Callithrix jacchus: one gene and its partners. The protein of the gene in region 1 binds, or shares a complex with, the protein of each later gene. Links are inferred from orthologs where the notes say so. Each region holds a gene or a part of one and is shown in the gene's direction. Other genes may lie near its edges. The genes, in order: ANXA2, S100A4 and S100A10.

Region 1 (6,547 bases):
CGGGAGGTGGGAGTGGGAGGGGCGGTCGGTGGGGGCGGGACGGTGGGGAGTAGAGTTCTCTGACTAACACTCAAAAGATCTTTTATACTGGCAGAACTGGCCACACATTCCTCGGAAATAGCCTACTATGACCTTTTTTTTTCTTTGAGCTGGAGCCTTGCTCTGTCGCCCAGGCTGGAGTGAATGGCGCAATCTCAGCTCACTGCAACCTCTGCCTCCCAGGCCCAAGCGATTCTCCTGCCTCAGCCTCCTGAGTAGCTGGGATTACAGGCACCTGCCACCGCGCCCATCTAATTTTTGTATTTTTAGTAGAGATGGGGTTTCACCATGTTGGGCAGGCTGGTCATGAACTCCTGATCTCAGGTGATCCTCCCACCTCAGCTTCCCAAAGTGCTGGGATTACAGGTATGAGCCACCATGCCCAGCCGAACTATGATTTCTAATCAAAAGCTCCATTTTTATGATAACATCAGTGCACATTTCTTTCGAATGAAGCAAAGCCTGGTGATTGTACAAATCTATGGAAATTTGGATTTGCTGCATGCCCAAGATGAGCACAAAATTCTTTTGGACATTTGATGGCTTTTATATATTCCATATGATTTGATTAAATTTTATCTTCTGTGAAGGGCCTATCACAGCACAGGTCACACCAAACAGGCAATAAACATTGTTTCTGCCTTTGAAGCTTTCAGGCTATATTGAAGAGCTATAAATGTAAATCAGTAATTGCACCCAAAATGTTGTTTTATTTTCTATTTGGCCCTGCGGTAGGGCCCGTCGTGTATACTTCCTCATGAAAGCGCTGGGTAACAGAGAGCTCTGGGTGGCTTGCTAAGAGACTCCAGCTGTGGCCGACTTTCCCCTGTCTCACTCCAGGACAGTGAGCAGAGCACTGAATGTCTGTTGGCCTTATCGTTCTCTGATTCCCAGGAGTGAATTGACGCTCAACTGGAAAGTTAAAATGGACATGAAGAGAAATGGGAGATTAAAACACAGAATCCTCAAAAGCAGAAAAAAAGCTGCAGGAAGTGAGCGTGCAAGGAGGGATTTAAAAGACGCTGTGAGGGGTTCTTACCATAGCTTTCCTGCTAGTTTGAGGTTTTGAATACAGTATTTGCGTCGTCACACATACAACAAATACGTGTTAGCCCGCACATTGCCAACGTGACTCTTGGAGGAAAATCGAGAAACAGCAAAACCAGGCAAGAGAGTTGGGTAAACGGCTACAAGAAACACACACACACCAACACACACAACGAGGCTGTGCAAGACACACACCCACCCACACCCCAGTTGCAAGAAACACAAAACCCAGCTGCAAGAAACACACACACACCAACACACACAACGAGGCTGTGCAAGACACACACCCACCCACACCCCAGTTGCAAGAAACACACACACACACCCGCAGCAACATACACACCCAGCAGTCAAGAAAGAAGGACAGGAGGAAAGTAATATGTTGAAACTCCGGGTCCAAAGCCATGGGCCCACCCAGCCCAGGACCGCATGCCACGAGGCGCGGAGAGGAGAGAGCACAGCCGTACTAGGGAGAGGGGCGCCTCCCGGGGCGCGACTGAGGCGGCATCTTGGCTCGCGGCTTCGGCCTCCCAGCGCGCTCGGAGGCCGGGGCAGCCCTGGCTTTGCAGCACAGGGCGAATCTCCCTCCCTCCCGGCGCGGCCCCCGGGAACTGGCGGCCAGAGATGAATCTGACATGTTGCAGACTCCCCAAGGTAATGGTGCGCTGGATGCCAACAGCCCCAGCTCAGGGGAGTCCAGATTTATGCTTGTTGGAACAATTCTTTCCTCCATTGCATTATCGCCAAAAAAAAAAAAAAAAAAAAAGCCACTTAACCATGCCCGGAGTCTACTTCTAAAGTCTTGCTAATTTATTAACCCAAGCCGAGGCTGAGAGCTCGACGTGGCACTTAAGCAAAACGAGGAAAGGAGGAAGAAGCCGGGCCCCTATGGGCCTGCGGGCAGCCTAGGCCGGGCTTTCTCCCAGGGCAGGGCCAGGGGTGCGGGGGCCGCTCCCGTATGGCGCGGCTCGGGAGCGTTTCAGGGCGCGGTCCCTGCGGGCCCGCGGGCCGGGGTGAGTCACCCTGACTCGGGGTGGGAGCGGGCCGGGGGTGGGGGGTAGAGGCGGGGCGGGGCGGGGCGGGCCTCGCCTCTCCGGGAGGAAGCGGCGGGTTATAAAAGCCCCACCCAGGCCAGCGGGCTCCGCTCGGCATCTGGGGACGCTCTCTGCTCTCTGCTCTCGGCGCCCGGCCCAGGTGAGCGAGGCGCGCCCTGCCTGCCCGCTAGCGGGGTGTGGAGACGCTGGGAACAAGGGCACGGCCTGGCAGGGAGGCTCGGGCGAAGGGTCCCGGAGGCCGTCGGGGGGCAAGGGGCTGAAGGGTCCGCCCGCACTGGAGAGTCTTTGGGGAGGGGGGCGCAGGGGCAAGGTGTGCGGGGCACGGGTGAGGGGCCGCCGGCGTCCGGGCCGGGAGGGTGCAGGGCCCAGGCGAGGGGTGTCGGGCTGCCCCTTGAAGTCCTCGCAGGAACGGGGAGACGCGGCGCGGGGAGGGGGCGGAGGGCGGCCCTGCATTCCAGAAGCGCCGGGCGCCGCGAGGCAGGGTGTGGCCACCCGGGGAGCCGGTGGGCTTTCCACCGCCCTCGAGAAAGTGCCCCCATCTGTTCTAAGTGACTGTACTCGGAGCAAACGTGCGCTTGTGCACTGGAGCCGACCCGCAGGAGAGCAGTGCGGGAGGATGAGAGGGGCGAGTGCGTAGACACCACCGCCCCCCACGAAAGGAAACAGGAAAACGCCCGTTCATTCCCGTTGGTCTAGAGGATCTTGTGGGATAGCACCTTCGGATTTCACTCTTCCTGGAGACTTTTCCTCTTGGTTGAACACATTGGCCCCAGGAAGAGAGTGTCCCCCATGATTCTGCGGGGCGGGTTGTCCTGACTGTTACCGTGATGTGGCAATGAGTCAGGAACTGAGGGTACAGAAAAGGGCGTGGCCCCGGGGCCGCTGTCTCCTGGAGGCTCGGTGCAGCTGGCCCCAGGGCTGGCGTGGAAGGCTTGGGTTCCCTCAGCTGGCTGTTGAGAAGAAGGAGGGGAACACCTTTCTTTATCTGGGAGAGCGACTTAAGGATGCCTATTCTTACCACCACCCAAACAGGGTTTCAAAAAGTCATTCAAAAATAAATGTGTAAAGCACACAGAAAACACTCAGTGCTGTGCAAATGCCAAGTCTCATTTTTGTAGTCAGATTGCCATTTGAAAGCTGTGGGTGTTCCCAGTCTGTGTGTAAAAGAGCAGTGGCCTCATGGGTGCACGCCGGGCCATTACCAAGAACCTCAGGCTGTTGGTGTGCAAGGGCCTGGGCCCCAGACTGTAGCGATGGATTCTCTTCTTGCGTGTGTGCTGCTGTGCCTGCCTGTCTGGAACTCGGTGACTTGGAATGCGGAGTGCCCCCTCCCATTGAAACTGTGTTGCCGAAGGCGCTGACCTTCCCAGTCCAGCCCTGAAAACCCTATTTAACATGCCCTTCCTAAGTACGGGGATGGTGCTGGGGAGGTGGAGGGTAGTGAGGGGCGGTATGTTTTTGAGATTTACACTGAGTAAATTAATTTAATTGAAACACTATGTCTTTGCCTCTGTTCCAGTTTCTTTTTCACCTTCCACCTCCTTAGAGACGCTCTTCTGTGTCCTATTACAACAGCTGTCCAGGCTGGTCCACATTCCTTCCTCCTTCCTCCCCCTTCCCATTTCAGTGAACCAAACCGGTATCCAGCTAGAGACCAGCAAATTGAAACAATATTCATTAAGTTAGGAATGGTTGGTGGTCCAAAGATCCTCAGCAACCTAGAGGAGTTATTTAAAAAAACAATGCTGGGTGTGGTCCGGGGCCTGTAGTCCCTGCTACTCACGCTGGAGGATCGCTGGAATCCAGGAGTTCAAGGCCAGTGTGAGCCATATAGCAAGACCCCAGCCTCAAAAAATAAAGACATAAAATAATTTTTTTAAAAAAACCTCATTCACCTAAACAGATCTATAATTTATAGAACTCAAAGCTGTGGAGTCAGAAAGTGATCATATTCAGGCAATATCAAGAAATATTTTAGGTAAGACCAACACAGCCGAGGTGTCCTTGATTTCTTCCCTTCGTCTAAGCCCGTCTAGTATCGAAAGGTTTCAAGGGTTTCTCCAAAAGAGCGTTGAATCTGCAGTGGAAGGGTGTGACCGTCTGTGTGCATTTTTCCAATTGGAAGGTTATGATTTGGAGACCACCTACATTTTGTATTTCTTGCAGTGCCAAGTAGCCTGCCTGTGGTAAATGCCCAGGAAACATTGCTGACTCACTGACTCTGATTAGGGGCCCAGTCTTGCACCGGAGTCTCAATATTTAACCTCTTGTGTCTTTGAGCTATTAACCTATGGTATTGATTGACATTAAGCTTGCAGTCATGGCCGTTAGTTTCCCGGCTAAGTTCTGATTTAAGTAGTTTTCCTGGCATAGTAGCATATGCTTCTGTAATTGCTATTGATTTTGAGGGCAGTAGGCTCTTCCTGCAGCATCAGGCCTAGAATCTGCCACCACCACATTGCCGTCGCGAGCCTTTGTTCTCACTCTTGTGCAGAGCCTCAGCCGCGGGACCATTTTTCATTGAGGGAGAGTGGGAGTGTCACGAAAGGTGTCTCAGGCTCTAGTGGGCTGCTTTAAACAACGATTTATTCCACAGCATATTCATCACCTACTGTGTTCTACCCACAGTGGGCGCTAGGGATACAGCAGTGAACAAAACAGACTCCCCTTCCCCCCCCGCCACCCCCAAATCTAGCGGAGAGAGAAAGAAAAGAGACAAATAAGTGAATTGTTGGGTTTTAAACTGTATTTTCCCAAATTAATACTAGTTTCCAAACGTGGTGGGTGTTCATTTCGCCTTTAATCCGGCTGTTCCACAGACCTGAGCGTCATTTGCCTACCTCAAGGAAGTTTTGCTTACAGTTATGGTGTCTTAAGTTGCCTTCCACATTCATCTGTGAGGATTAAATAGAAATGCAATGTTCCAGGCCAGGCGCAGAGGCTCACGCCTGTAATCCCAGCACTTTGGGAGGCCGAGGCGGGTGGATCACGATGTCAAGAGATCGAGACCATCCTGGTCAACATGGTGAAACCCCGTCTCTACTAAAAACTCAAAAAATTAGCTGGGCACAGTGGCGCGTGCCTGTAATCCCAGCTACTCAGGAGGCTGAGGCAGGAGAATTGCCTGAACCCAGGAGGCGGAGGTTGCGGTGAGCCGAGATCACGCCATTGCACTCCAGCCTGGGTAGCAAGAGTGAAACTCCATCTCAAAAAAAAAAAAAAAAAATGCAATGTTCCTCTTTTTCTCACATATGAATCCTCTGACTTCATTTTCCCTGGTGCCACACCCTATTCTAGTTGTAGGCCACAGCAAAGGAAATTCCAGTTCTTTTAAAAAAATTCCACCCATTCACTGCCTGGTATGTTTTTTCTTCTGCTGTTGCCAGAGGCAGTTCATCTACTTTGCCAAGGGACAGGTCAGCAGTAGGGGTCAGGAGAGGCCCGTATTTGTTCTTCTGGGTGGTTCCACCGAGATTACTTCCAAATCTCCCTTCTAGGGTACACCCTAAAGCTTGTTTTGTTTTGTTTTGAGAGGGAGCCTTGCACTGTCTCCCATGCCAGAGTGCAGTCGCAGGATCTCTGCTCACAACAGCTTCCACCTCCCAGGTTCAAGCGATTCTCCTGCCTCAGCCTCCTGAGCAGCTGGGATTACAGGCGCACACTACCATGCTGTGCTAATTTTTGTATTTTTAGTAGAGAGGGGGTTTCATCATGTTGGCCAGGCTTGTCTCCAACTGCTGATCTCGAGTGACCTGTCAACCTCAGCTTCCCAAAGTGCTGGGATTACAAGCGTGAGCCTTCATGCTCAGTCCACCCTGAAGCTTTTAAGCCAGCTGAGTTCAACCTTGTTAGACCACAAGTTAGTAGCACCCAAGTGGCCTGAGTTTTATCCCAGGTATGGTGTAGAAAGCTCTGATTCTAGGGAGTGGCTGTGACTTGGAGCCCTTTGTCTCCCTGCCACACCCCGGCTGCACACCCTCAGCTCAGAGGAAATCAGAGTCCTAAGGCTGCTCATACATCCTGCCTCTTTACTGTCTTCTTGCCAGGAGTTGTAGGTTACAGTTCCAGGTTGTCCTATGGACAGAAGTAGGACCCAAGCGGCCCTGACAGTGCAGAGGTGGGGGCCGTGGGGGCCGTGGCTATATGTTGATAAGAGGCTGCCCTGAAGTGATCCGCTGGGCTTTGCTAAGATTTGCAGAAGTTGGTGATTTAAGCCTCCAGCTCTGAATGTGTGGAGCGGGAACTAGATTTGAAATGTCCAGTTCTGAGGAGGAGAAAGAAAATTGAGGAAGGAGAGGGTGTTGAAAAAGAAGAAAAAAACACTTTGTATTATAGAAAGACCCATTGTATGTAAACCATCCCAAGATGAAATTGAATGCCCATCCTGGGCCAGGCAACTGTGCTCA
Region 2 (6,569 bases), on another chromosome or scaffold:
TGGACGCAGAGGTTTCCTTGCACAGTGAAGGGCTGTCAGGGAAGTTTGGGCTGAGGGGTGTGCAGAGCTGAGGTCTGCCTTGAAGTGGGATCACTGGGCTCAAGGTTCTGGTGTTCTCCTTAGTCAGCCCCTCGCCTGCTCCTTGCCTCCTTGCTTTATTCCTGGGGACGGGTCAAGATTGGCTAAGGCTGCAGGGGGAAGAGAGGATTCCCACACCTCCAGGCACTGTGCTTCTGAAACAGCAGCAGTGGTGGTGCCAGGCAGGCTGGCAGGAGCGCAGAAAGGTGTGCTGAACCCCTCTGTGGCTCCTCATTCCCGGGGATCATGGCCCTTTCCTCTGCTGGGAACCTGGACACCTTGCTCCAATCCTGGGCTGTTTACAACCAATTGAACCCTGGCAGTGCTTGGCACCCCCCACTCTCCTTCCCCTACTTTCCTGCCAGCCACAACCACACCAGCCATTTGCTCCCAGCAGCAGGCCCAGCAGTGGGCGAACCTTCAGGGAGAGTCTTGGCCCTGGCCACCCTGTGCTGCAGGACTCTCGTCCCATGAGGGAACCAAGAGTGAGTCACTGGTCTTGCATGGAAAAAACTCTTGCCTTCCTGGCCGCCTTAGGGTTTTCCCAGGCTGGAGGCATCATCCCAGAAGGGCGGTGGAAGGGTACAGTGGAAGTGGGGGGAGGTGAGCAATTCCAGGAAGGACTTCCCCTCCAATAGAAAAGGGTACCCCTGTACAGATCCTTCCCTCTAGGGGTCAGGGGGGTAACCTCAGGGGAGGCCAGTCTCAGATTGGTAAATACCTGAACCGGTCAACTCTCAAGAGACCATCTGGCTCCAGTTCCTGACTGGGCCTGCAAGGTGGGATGAACCCCACTTCACAGATCAGGCCCCTGAGACCCGGAGAGGCAAATGGCTCACCAGGCTTGCAGAGCTGGTGAGAGGCAGAGAGGAGCCCACGAGTTTTTCTTTTGGATGCAGCTTCCTTGAGTTCAGGGCAGGAGGCAGGGTGAGGGGAGTGGTGGTGAGGCGGTGTGGGCCCCTCTCAGGCCTGCCCCTCCCTCCCTGCTAAGGCCTAGCTTCTCCTCGGGCCTGAGGACAGAGAATTACAGGGCCAGGCTCTCCTGTGCAAGTTCCTGCAGGGCAGAAGGCTTCTAGGGCATCTCATGGGCTGGGGCAGACGGGGACCAAGCCACCCCTGGGTATTGGAGATAAGCAGAGAACCCAAGAATGCCTAAGGAGCCCCACGGTGGGGTGTGTGGGTGGTGGGGTGAGATGCCCTCTCTTTAAGGAGTTTGCAGTGATGTTGGGGCAATGAGACCTCTACATGTGGAAAATCACAAGAGGGCAGCAGGGAGATAAATGAATAGGGGCTGGTGTGGTCCAGGAGGGCTGCTCAGAGGAGGGGAAGCCATGGGGCCTGAAGCCTGGTGGAGGTTAAGCTGGGTCTGGGAACAGTCTCTGAGAAACATGGAAGGCAGAGGTGAGCAGGGGGCTGGCCTGGAACTCTGCTGTGAGTCACGCCCTTGTTCTGTGACAGTGAGGATGGCCAGGCCTCTGGAGCAGGCGGTAGCTGCCATCGTGTGCACCTTCCAGGAGTATGCCGGGCGCTGTGGGGACAAACACAAGCTCTGCCAGGCTGAGCTCAAGGAGCTGCTGCAGAAGGAGCTGCCCACCTGGACCCCGGTGAGTACGCAGAGTGTCCGTACCCTCCTCACCCGGCAGGAGGTAAGGCCTGGACTCTGCAAAGAGAGTCGTGGGGACAAGCCGGAGCACAGGTCCACAAGGGGAGGAGGCTGGACTGGAAGGAGGGAGTAGCAGAAGCCTCAGCTTCCTCACCTGTAAAATGGAAGGACAATCATCACACCTGCTGCCTTGCAGGGTTGTGAGAGGACTGAGCGAGAGCACCATGAAGAATGCCTAATGCGTAGTAGGCACTCAGTAGCAGATAGTAGGTGCTCAATTGACAATCTGAGAGGGTGGATTTGGGAGGGGATCGCAATGGGTGCATTACTGGAACAGGTAGGTTGAAGTCGGCCCTCGGAAGGGTGTAGTTTGGGGTGGGGTGGGTCCGCTTGGGAGAGGAGGGAGGGCAGTGGCGTGCGAGGCTGTTCTGCCCTCCTCATCCTGCTCCCCCACCCTTCCCCACCCCTCCCTTGCACAGACCGAGTTTCGGGAGTGTGACTACAACAAATTCATGAGTGTTCTGGACACCGACAAGGACTGCGAGGTGGACTTTGTGGAGTACGTGCGCTCACTGGCCTGTCTCTGTCTCTACTGCCACGAGTACTTCAAGGACTGCGCCCCAGAGCCCCCCTGCCCCCAGTAGCCTCCGCTACTACTCCCCCACCCTCTCTCCTGCACCCCTTCCAATCTGGACTTGCCAAGGTCTTCCGTGATCAGTTAACCCATTTTACCCAGGATGCCCAGCGAGGGAGGGGTAGAGCCACTCTGGGCCCCAGCCTGCCCGCCGCACCCCTACTGCCTCCCCTGTGGTTGGGAGGAGGCGGGATCTGCTCTGAGACCCCAGTGAGACCTCGATGGGAAGGGGCCTATTTAACTCCTAATAAAAGGCTGGCATCAGCTTGGCTTTGTTTGGTTCTTCTCCGGGGACGCGTCTGCTGAGCTCTTTGCTCCTCTCTGGACTTTTCCACTGCAGGAGGGCAGCTGAGGGCAGGAGCAGGAGGCTCCCCCAGGGACGTTTCAGACCCTGCAGAAATGCCGTGGCCTCCAGAGTCCAGCAGGAGGGCGTGGGGCCAACACTGGGACCCCCGTCCTCCCTTCCTCTCTCTTTCTCTGGGGGTCTTTGAGAGAGGGCCGCCTAAGTTTCTCCTGGGACTCAGTGCTCTTGATCAGGTGATATGACGAGGGTGGGGTGAGGGTGGGGTGGGGCTGTTAGTTCCCTGCCGCGGGCTGTGGGAGCCCAGAGAGCAGCACTAATGGGATTAGAGTGTTTGAGGTGTTTACTCCCAGCCAGGGCGGGGTGCCGGTGTGGAGGGGGCAGGGGGTATCTTGAGGCAGTCCCCATCCCTGAAGCCACAGCCCCCTGAGGGCCTTAACCCCCTACTTCTAACCCTCACTGAGCTTGCAGCCCACCCTGAGAGGTCGACCCAAATCCTGACTTCCCTATTTTGTGCCATTTCGCCTCTCACTCTCCACCCCAACCTGGATTCTTCATTCCCGACACTCACCCCAACTTTAAATGGCACCCCCGATAGCTTCTCCGAACCTGGGGTCTATCCATGAGACCCCACGCCTCATTGCCACCCATTCCATCACTACCTCACCCAGAACCTTTCCCATTGACATTTATGAGGTGGTCCCAGAGCCTCTTTTGTGTATGAACCTCTTCCCCTCCAGACCCCCCAGCTCCGGCCCTGGGCCTTACTTGGCATGGCAGACAGTACTGGGCCTGGGGATCCCCTCCCCCATTTTTGTTTTTTAATCTTTATTTATTTACTTTTTGAGACAGAGTCTCCCTCTGCCACCCAGCCTGGAGTGCAGTGGCATGATCTCGGCTCACTGCAACCCCCACTTCCCAGATTCAAGCAATTCTCCTGCCTCAGCCTCCTGAGTAGCTGGGATTACAGGCGTCTGCCACCACACCCGGCTAATTTTTTGTAATTTTTACTAGAGATGGGATTTCACCATCTTGGCCAGGCTGGTCTTGAACTCCTGACCTCATGATCCACCCGCCTCGGCCTCCTAAAGTGCTGGGATTACAGGTATGAGCCACCGCGCCGGGCCTTAATCTTCATTTTTTTTAAGAGACAAGGTCTCGCTGTGTTGCCCAGGCTGGAGAGCAGTGGCTTGAGCATAGTTCACTGCAGTCTCAAATTCCTGGGCTCAAATGATCCTCCTGTTTTAGCTTCCTGACTAGCTGGGACTACAGGCTCCAGCCACGCTGTCTAGCTAATTAAAAAAACTTTTTTGGCTGGGCGCGATGGTTCACACCTGTAATCCCAGCACTTTGAGAGGCCGAGGCGGGTGGATCACCTGAGGTCCAGAGTTCAAGACCAGCCTGGCCAACATGGTGAAATGCGGTCTCTACTAAAAATACAAAATTGGCTGGGTGTGCTGGGACATGCCTGTAATCCCAGCTACTTGGGAGGCTGAGGCAGGAGAATCACTTGAACTTGGGAGGCGGAGGTTGCAGGGAGCCGAGATCAGGCCATTGTACTCTAGCCTGGGTAACAAGAGTGAAACTCCATCTCAAAAAAAGAGGGGAGACTACTCTCTCCCTGTCGCCAATGCTCTAGGCACAGGCTGCCCTTCCTCCACCTCTCTAAAACTCAGGCTATGTACACTGGGTAGTGTGTATCACATCCAGGTCTCTGCTGGTGGTAACCATTGGGGCTTACCCCTTGCCCACAGGGGCCCACCTGGGGACAAGAAGCTTGGTTCCAAGGCTGGGCTGGTGGACGGTGCTGTGGCCCTTACCATGTCAGCCCACAGTAGGAGGGCAGTATCTGCTCTCCCCCATCCCCTGCTATGGGCAGGGCCTGGCGGGGGTATAAATAGGTCAGACTGCTGGGCCGTCCCCGTTCTTCCGCTCTCTACAACCCTCTCTCCTCCACTTCTTCTCCCTTGGCCTGGTGAGTTGTGTTGGCCTGACTGGCATGCAAGGGGTGTCAGAGGCCAGGGCTGGGGCAGGAGAAGGGGAGGTGGGTGGGGGCGAGATGTGCTAAACAGATCCAGATGTGAGATTCTGATGTGGAAGCTCTGGATAGAGTGTGTGTGTGTGGGTGTGTGCGTGGGTGTGCATGTGCACACACACACGTGCATGTAAGAGGGAGGAAAAAACAAACAGAAAAGCGAGCAAGTGGCTGGCTTTGAGCTCTCCAGGTGCTTCTGAGATGCGGCTTGCATGTGCTGTTGCTCTAGTGTGTGTCGGTGTATATGTGCCCGTGGGTATATGCACTGGCTCACGCTTGCTGGGTTGCATGCTCGGGTGCAGGAAGCAAAGCAAAGGCAGAAGGGAACTGTGGGTGTTTGTCTGGTGGTGTGCGCCAGGAGCCTCTGCCCTGCACCCAGCAGCCCAGGTCGAGAGCATGGCCTCTGCACCTTCTCCTCCAACCCTTGACTCTGCCACCTCACTCTGCCCCTCCCTAGGCTGAGCGCTAAGCGGCTGGTTTTTTCCGCTGCAGGGCCCTGGGCAGGCCTCCAGCAGCCTCGCCCATTGCTGGGAGGGAGAAGAATGGCCAGGGCGGGGCCTTTGTGGCTGAGCTGTGGGAGTGGATTGACTGAGTGAGGGGTGGAAAAAATGCTGTTGTTGAGGAGAGGCCTGGGAGCTTGCTGCCTGAATCTCCAGAGCCTGTGCAGAGGGTCCTGCAAACATCCACTGTTCACCGCCCGGAGCATGTGTTCCCCACACCCTCCCACCAGGTGCTGGGCCCGCTGCTCTGAGCCCCCCCAGGGAGGGAGCAGAGTCTCACCAAGTGCTCCCAGCAAGGGATGTGAGTGCATCGCTGGGGGGTGGGGTAAATAAGAGGGTCTCTGTGCCTCCTGCCCCCAGATCCTGACGGCTGTCATGGCGTGCCCCCTGGAGAAGGCCCTGGATGTGATGGTGTCCACCTTCCACAAGTACTCAGGCAAAGAGGGTGACAAGTTCAAGCTCAACAAGTCAGAGCTAAAGGAGCTGCTGACCCAGGAGCTGCCCAGCTTCTTGAGGGTGAGTGGGTAGTGCCTGAGTGTGCCCCCACATGGGCGATTTCCCACAGAGGAGGCAGCAGTCCTGCTATAGAGAATTAGCTACAGAGGGCATCTATCAGTGGGGCGGCTGCTTGGGGTGGAAACAGTGAATACCACCACTCACGGACTGGCGCCCTGCTGAAAGAGGGCTGAGAATGAACTGGTCAGACACCACCAGGTACTCTGCACTGAAGGGAAGCCTAAGCTCAGGGTGCTAAGTAACTTCCCAAGGTGGTCAGTGCCCAGAACGGCCATCCGGGCCGGGACGGTGTGACTCTTGCCCTTACTCCAACGATGGACACTGAGTTTCTGTCTGGCTTGTGAAGATACAATGTGGAGATGATCACATGCCTGCAGACTTTCCCCTCAAACAATAACAATGTACATCGGTAGCAAACATTGCACAGTTTACATATGTCTTTCATGACTGAAATAATCCCTCATGGGATTATTAGAACAGCCTTGGGTGAAAATGTTGTGGCCCTGTCATTTTTCCGTTGCACCAGGTACTCAGACTTTCTCATCCAAGGAGCACCTTCTCCGCCCTAGCTTAGCCTTGGGGGTGGGAGTTCCGAACTGGACCTCCCAAAGGAGCCTTCCCGAGCTCTGGTCCGGAGGTAGAAACTGGGTCTGGTCCTGGCGCCACCCACTGGGCTTCTGCTTTCTATGCGTAGCCTCTTCTCCCTCCAGAAAAGGACAGATGAAGCCGCGTTCCAGAAGCTGATGAGCAACCTGGACAGCAATAGGGACAACGAGGTGGACTTCCAGGAGTACTGCGTCTTCCTGTCCTGCATCGCCATGATGTGTAATGAATCCTTTGAAGGCTTCCCAGATAAGCAGCCCAGGAAGAAATGAAAGCTCCTCCCATGTGGTTGGGGGTCT
Region 3 (6,607 bases), on another chromosome or scaffold:
TTTGGCTCTATTATAATCTGAGGGACCACTGCTGTATACACGATCCATTCTTGGCTCAAACATTGTTATGCAGTGAATGACTGTACTCAATTTTATAACCAGCATGATCAGAATTACGTAACTATTTGTCATATATACATAAAAAGACTAGAAAGAAATAGGAAAATATTGACCTTTGGTTCATGTATTTATAAATCACATTTTATACATTAAGATTTTTCCAAGCCTTCTAAGAATAGAATCTTTGTACAGATTTAAAAGTTCTAGTAAGTGTCATCATTATTTTTTAATTTCTACCAATGTTGCATCCTGCAAGAATTATTCTGACCACTCCAAGGAAACTTGAAAGCCCCTCCTCAGTGTTCTCCTACTATCTGATAGTATCCTCTACCATTCACTAAGCACACTGGATTTACATTGTTTGCTTATCTAACTCCCAAGCCCTTGGAGGGAAGAGACTGATTCCTTAATCCCTGAATTCCCAGGCGTATGCACATACACTAAAGCACTTTTAAGGTCTGTGGACTAGATGAAGAAATCAGATGAGTACGGGTATGCAAACCCAGGCATTCCTATTCCAAACCCAGTAGCATTCCAATCCCTGGGACAAAAGGGATCCGAGATTTCCTCCACTGATGACTGTGACCTGGGGACTGGGAAGTACTGTATACAGCAAGATCCCAGAAGACAAGCTGTCCACTTGAATAGTCAGCACCAGGCTGCAGGAAAAGCAATAGCTGAAATCCAAGTTAGGTTTTCCTGGCGACAGCCAAGATTAGTCAGAAGTGGCACTTGGAGGATTCCCCAAGTCTGCTCATTCCTTTGGGATCGCTCACTCCTTCCAAGGCCTCCCCTGGGAACAAAGGAAAACCCCAGAGTTTGGGACTGGGCTGTTTTCCACCAACAGCTTCGAGTAGTTTGTATTTAACCCCAAATCGCAATTCAAATAAAAGGAGGCGAGGGAGGGGCAAAGAGTAGGTCAGCATCCCCTAGGAAACACTTAGGTTTCCTCTAAAGTTATTCCAGGAAATTCTTCTAAAGGACTTTTAAGGACCACAGCATAATGCCTTGGAAACTTAGTTTTAAACTCTTTTTTTTTTTTTTTTTTTTAGACAGAGTCTCACTCTGACACCCAGGCTGGAGTTAAGTGGCGTGTTCTCGCCTCACTGCAACCTCGGTCTCCCAGGTTCAAGCGATTCTCATGTCTCAGTCTCCTGGGATATCAGTAGCGCACCACCTTTCCCGACTCCTTTTTCTATCAGTAGAGACGAGGTATCACCATTTTGGCCAGGCTGGTCTCGAACTCCTGACCTCAAGTGATCTGCCCGCCCTTGGACTCCCAAAGTGTTGGGATTACAAGCATGAGCCACCACGCCCAGCCAGTTTTTAACATTAGCCACACTGAAACTGAACTATTAGTCAAGTAAATCCCCTGTTCAACGGAGGGTTTGTGACGCCCCTGGGTGCTGACAAGACAAACCACACCCTCTCTGGCACCTCGAGGGCCCAGCAGGGTGGGGAGCCTGGCTGCTGGGGAGGTGCTGGGTGCCACCCCCCCCCCACCCTGACCAGGCGCAGGCGGCCGAGACCCCCCGGATGGACCTCCTAGGGCTAATCTGAGAACAACCAAATTCTAGTGCCTCTGAGGTCGCTAGGACTCCACGTGCCACTCCCTGCAAGGTCATCCAGAAAATAATTCCTAGACCCGTAGGTGCCCACAGAGCCGGTACCTCTGGTTCTGCGCCAGCGTGCCCCACCCGCAGGACGGCCAGGTTCTGTCACCGACTTTCTAAAACCAAACCCGAGAGGAAGGGCAGGCCCAGGGTGGGGATGCCCTGAAATAGTGGAGGGCAGGACCGTTCCTACTGAAGAGAAGTTTACAAGAACGCTCTGACTGGGGCGGGCAAGGCAGCAGCGAGGCGGGTCGGGGAGCGAGAGCAGGGCGTGGGCTGCGAACCCCGGGTCGGGGGAGTCGGGGGCAGGAAGAGAGGGAGGAGACAGGGCTGGGGAGCGCCAGGCCAAGCGCCAGCCAGGCTCCTCCCGCTCCCGCACCGCCTCCCTCTCCCCACCCACCGCACGTACTAAGGAAGGCTCACAGCCTGCTGCCCTCGCTTCGCCGCTCCGAGTCTAGCTAGCCCAGAATCCGCAGCGCCTTGGCCAAGGTGAGCTCCCCCCCTGCCCACGTGCCCTTCCCGGATAGTCCCCAGCCCCCGACCTGCCGCCTGGGGTAACCCCCGCACTTGGCTTCACGGAGCGTCCCGGGCACCGCGGGGCCTGGACGGGGAGCGGCCGGTGGGGAAATCCGGTGCTTGGTGCTCTGGGCCGCACCCAGAGGAGGCCAGCAGCGCCCGTCCCCAGCCCGAGCGCGACCGCCCCTAGACCCAGGCGGACCAGAGGAGGGGACACTTGTCCTTTACGTGGGGACTGTGGTGTTGGTGCCCCTGGACCTCTTCTCTCCTCCCTTTGTTAGCCTTGCTTTACTCCCACCTTTCCTGCTTTCCCACTCGTCTCTCGGTTACTGAAGCCCTCCTGCTTGCCCCTGCCCTGGCTGGCATGTTTCTTGGTGGGTTCTGCCCACAGGCCAACCTTGGTTTGCATGTTCGTAGCCTCCACCCGGCTGGACAGCCCGAGCAGGCGCGGGTAGGACGAGTAGGGAGCTGGGGGCGTCCCTTCCTAAGGAGTACCCCTTAGTCCCTTGGCCAAAGGGGCGTTTCACGTTGGGGCTTCCTGTTGTCAGCTTGACGGGGGTCTTCCTGCTGAGGGAGGGGGGTCCACTTGTTTTCTTTCTAAAGCAGTTTGGCTCGATGGGGGCGGTGGACAGTGTGAAGCGGTTTCTCTACTGAAAGGTTCCCTAGCTAACCTAATTAAGTAGAACCAGAAAGAGATGGAGGAAGAGCAGGCTATGATGAAGGATCTTCCAGTCCTAGATTAATTTGTGAGACAGACAGACTTGCCTTTGGCACTTGGTTCACCACCTGCGCTTTGGCCGAAGGAATGGCGCTGCCCCTAGCTATGGACACTGCTGCCCTGTCCAGCTTCAGTCTGGCTCTAAGTGAAACCAGGAGCTCTGCCTTGTTGGCTGGGGGTGGAATGCAGACCGCTCCAAGCCAGGCCAGCACAGGGGAGCCCTGAGCTAGACTCTGGGATGCATTAAGCCCACCCCGCTTTCTGCCCCCACCCAGTTCTGTCCCTGCTGGAGCTTCTGCAGGGCGTGGTTAGGGCAGAAGGCTCCAAGATTCTCCTAGTGGTCTGAGGCCTGTGACTCAGCTGTGAGACCATGTGGGTGTGGCTGGTTGCAGATACTCTCTGTGGATGGTTTGGACAGAACACTCCCTGAAGGAAAAGAGGAACTGTGCCATCTCAGAGGGCATTTTCCAAGAGGAAGTGAGTCACACCTGGACTGGCCTCCAGTCTGCAGGAGAGGTTTCTTGACTGAACTGTGGGTGAGGGCAGTAATTAGATCAGTAACCAAGGCCTTGGCAAGACCGCTCTTCATTATCGGCCAGTATGCGCCTGGCACCCTGGCTCAGCCTTACTTGGGAGGTAGCCTTTCCCGTTAAGAGGTTTGCAGTTGTTTCGGATATTTTTCCCCAGAAGCTTGAGTTTTAGCCTCCAGGAGTGGAGTTTACGTTGTGTGCTTTAGGTGAGACCAGGCTCGTGGAAACATCCAGTCAGTGATTTTTGCCTCCAACATGTTTCAGCAAATTGTAAAAGACAATGCCAGGGGTTGGAGCAGGAATGAGTTCATATAACTCACTGTAAGTTTCTTCCTGGGCCCTGCCCCACAGATTCCTATCCGGTTTCTGTTTAAGCATCCCTTCCCAATGGTGTATTTGTTCCTTAGCAGCCAGAGAGTAGTTTCTTCACGGTGGGACCCACCATTTGGAGTTTATTTCAGTTCTTGCCATCTGTTTTTGGTCTGCTGGGCATGAAGCAATTGTTGGGTCTCACTCTGCTTTCTAGGTGATGCTCTTCCTAGCTTTTCTTGGACACACCAAATAGGCCCCTTTCCTCCAGTGTGCCGGCCTCTTGCCAGCCTCCTAAGCAGCCACTCCAGTGGGGTCAGGCCTGGACTGGGTGGAGCCAAGACTGTGTGCCTCCCTGCTTTCTACTGACAGTTCAAAAAAATGTGTCTTTTGTAGAGCACAACCCACTTGATATACCCTTGGACACAGTCCAGTCTTTCAAAGCATAAAGTTGAGAGAAACAATGGAATTCTTTCAGGCTTATAATGTATAAAGTAGCACTCAAAGTGCTGAGAAAGCTGGACTAAAATTTTAACATCTTACGTTTCTCATTTTTCTGGGGACTCAACAAATTTAAGAATCTCACATCAAAAGCAAAAACAATTTACTTCTTTTAAACAATTTTCAGAACTTTCTATTCCTTTACTAAATAAGTACCACCCACCCTACCAAAGGATTAAATAGCAGTTGTCACAATAGCTATGTTGGCTGATTAGGCTGATGCCTGAGCATTTTTTAAGGAAAAATGGATGTACTCGGTTAGATTGGAGGAGGTTTCTTTGGAGTTCTTTCTTCCTATTGAATTGCATCTGAAACTTTCCTTTGCTGCCCAAGTCTTTCGTGAGCAAGTTTTATTTGGTAAGAGGTGAGAGAGACAGCCTGGATCCAGATCCATTGGTTCAGCTCATTTTTTCTGAATTAGCTTCAAAGATCAAATTCAAGAATGCCTTCTGGGTTCAATTAAAAAAAAAAAAAAAAACTCCAAAATTTCTAAAGCAAAAGGAAGGAAATCTCAAACATATTTTAAATAACAGATGTTTGTTTTTACTGACGCCCTGCCATTTATTTTCTGGGTGGGCTGTAAGAAAACTAGGGTATGGACGAGATACAGAGAAGCAAAGCAAGTCTGACTCTCGCTCTTCAGAAGTGTCCTCTTTGAAACTGCAGCTGGGATCTGGGCACAGGTCCAGAGCAAACATTTGAGATTGCTCAGGAGCAGACACTTTTCTGAGGACTCCTGCTTCTCTGCTACTCTCAGGACAACCATAATACATTATTATTGACTTCTTATAAATTAATCGAGCAGGGTCAATGAGGGCTCAAGCACTGGCTACTGGGACCCTGCTCAAGAAACCTGCAATCTGGTGAGGAAAGAAACAGAAACACAAATAAATAGAATTCATGCCAGATGCTTAAGTAGTTTCTATTAGCTGGTTAATTCCTCAAAGGCAAGCATAATGGGGAGAACGTGTGTATCTGCATGTGTGTGTGTATGTGTGTCTGGGACATTCAAAGTGGATGCTCAGAGTGGGAGAACCAAAAATGGAAAATTGAATTCCTCCTATGGTAACTAAATTCGTAGAGTCCAGAATTGTTTTCTATAGAGAGAACTATAGAGAGAGAGATGTCTCAACCTCCCTTCTTAAGACCTGTTGCTCAGGCAGACAAGGTGGGCATGTATAGGCATCAGAATAGAATAATTCAATAAAAGGTGAGTGGACAGCAAGGCTGTTACATCCTGTGATGCTCAGCAGTGAGACAGCAACACTAGAAAAGCATAAAGTAGAAGATGTGATGAATGGAAAACATGAGAAAACAGCCAAGTGTTAGAAGAGAAGGAGCAAAGTCATGTCATTCTGACCAGACCTGTTTAGCAGGACACATATTTTCCCTTTTGCGTATGGAATGTGCCCTCCTGTGTACTCTACTGTTCCATTCATAGTTGAACCTTTTTGGGGCCCCTTTCCTGGCCCTTCCCAACTCTCACATTGTCCTCTTGAGCTCTTAGCTACAAGGTTTTCAGCCTAGTTCTAGGTAATCACACTTGCACCTCAGCTACTACTCAAGGGCTTGTGTGGTTCATTTATGCACCTAACAGTTAACAGTGCTCCACGAATAAAAGCAGAATAATTCGTAGTTCTTGTTCAAGAGGAGCTTAAATCTCAGACTGACAAGTAAACAATTAAATGGAATGGAATGTTTCAGGTACAAGAGCAAGTTCTTGGGGATAGAGAGTGTACTGCTGCCTCTTGGCCTCAGCCCCAAAGCCCTCCTGTCAAAGTGTGTCTAACCAGGATGCAGGAAGCCCACATCTGAACAGAGCTTGCAGAGTGGCTAGGTAAGGGAGGAAATGCCAGATTAAAGTCCCTGAAGAGCTTGTTTCAGCAGCTAACAGTCAGTGCTGCAGTCAGCCCTGCCCAGGCAAGCCCCACCCAAGAACCGAGGGCCAGGCAGGGCTGACTCAGTGGGGCCACCAGTGGCTGCACTCTGACAAGAGCTATGTGATTCATCCTCTAGCCAAGAGAACAGAGTTTTAATAACATTTTCCCCTTTCCTCTGTCTTAAAGCCAGTGTGCAGCTCCTTCTTCAAAACAGAGTTCCTTCTCTGGTGAGGCCCTTTGGGGCACTGGTTACTCAAGAGACAAGGGCTTCTCCCCTAGTTTTCAATGCTGTTTTCACCTCCTGGCTGGCCCCTGCTCTGTATCCTTATTGGAGAAGGTCTACTGGACAGATAGGGAGTCAGCTGGCTGCATATTCACAATCCATCCACTGGGTAAAACCACTGGGGGAGAAGGGAAAGGGAGAATCCAGTGGAGCAAGGATGTAACTTCAGAGAGGAAAGCTCCATCACTTCATAATGG

Evidence for each region.
Region 2: the proteins of ANXA2 (region 1) and S100A4 are in contact, whole or in part, in a crystal structure (PDB 5LPU), measured with the Homo sapiens proteins. The link is inferred for Callithrix jacchus from reciprocal best matches to the Homo sapiens genes ANXA2 and S100A4. Residues at the interface, in NP_001002857.1 of Homo sapiens: Leu13, Glu14, Pro21, Ser22, Ala23, Tyr24, Ser26, Val27, Lys28, Tyr30, Thr31, Asn32, Phe33, Glu36, Arg37, Leu40, Thr44, Gln69, Asp70, Phe73, Arg77, Arg78; in NP_002952.1 of Homo sapiens: Lys35, Leu38, Pro43, Ser44, Phe45, Leu46, Gly47, Lys48, Arg49, Thr50, Asp51, Ala54, Phe55, Lys57, Leu58, Asn61, Leu62, Gln73, Phe78, Cys81, Ile82, Met84, Met85, Glu88, Phe89, Phe93.
Region 3: the proteins of ANXA2 (region 1) and S100A10 are in contact, whole or in part, in a crystal structure (PDB 4FTG), measured with the Homo sapiens proteins. The link is inferred for Callithrix jacchus from reciprocal best matches to the Homo sapiens genes ANXA2 and S100A10. Residues at the interface, in NP_001002857.1 of Homo sapiens: Val4, Glu6, Ile7, Leu8, Lys10, Leu11, Ser12, Leu13; in NP_002957.1 of Homo sapiens: Phe39, Gly41, Phe42, Asn45, Gln46, Ala51, Lys54, Ile55, Leu79, Ala82, Cys83, Tyr86, Phe87, Met91.

What each region holds. Positions count from the first base shown.
Region 1 is NC_133509.1:7,195,908-7,202,454, reverse strand, and holds the start of ANXA2 (annexin A2), read left to right. Parts: upstream 1-2,229; 5' UTR 2,230-2,280; intron 2,281-6,547. UniProt on the Homo sapiens protein: Calcium-regulated membrane-binding protein whose affinity for calcium is greatly enhanced by anionic phospholipids. It binds two calcium ions with high affinity. May be involved in heat-stress response.
Region 2 is NC_133519.1:13,956,613-13,963,181, reverse strand, and holds the start of S100A4 (protein S100-A4), read left to right. Parts: upstream 1-2,701; 5' UTR 2,702-2,714; coding exon 2,715-2,852; intron 2,853-4,539; exon of another isoform or gene 4,540-5,381; intron 5,382-5,511; coding exon 5,512-5,667; intron 5,668-6,377; coding exon 6,378-6,542; 3' UTR 6,543-6,569. Other genes in the region: S100A3 (protein S100-A3), read left to right, coding at 563-563, 1,537-1,682, 2,161-2,325. UniProt on the Homo sapiens protein: Calcium-binding protein that plays a role in various cellular processes including motility, angiogenesis, cell differentiation, apoptosis, and autophagy.
Region 3 is NC_133519.1:11,917,755-11,924,361, reverse strand, and holds the start of S100A10 (protein S100-A10), read left to right. Parts: upstream 1-2,110; 5' UTR 2,111-2,162; intron 2,163-6,607. UniProt on the Homo sapiens protein: Because S100A10 induces the dimerization of ANXA2/p36, it may function as a regulator of protein phosphorylation in that the ANXA2 monomer is the preferred target (in vitro) of tyrosine-specific kinase.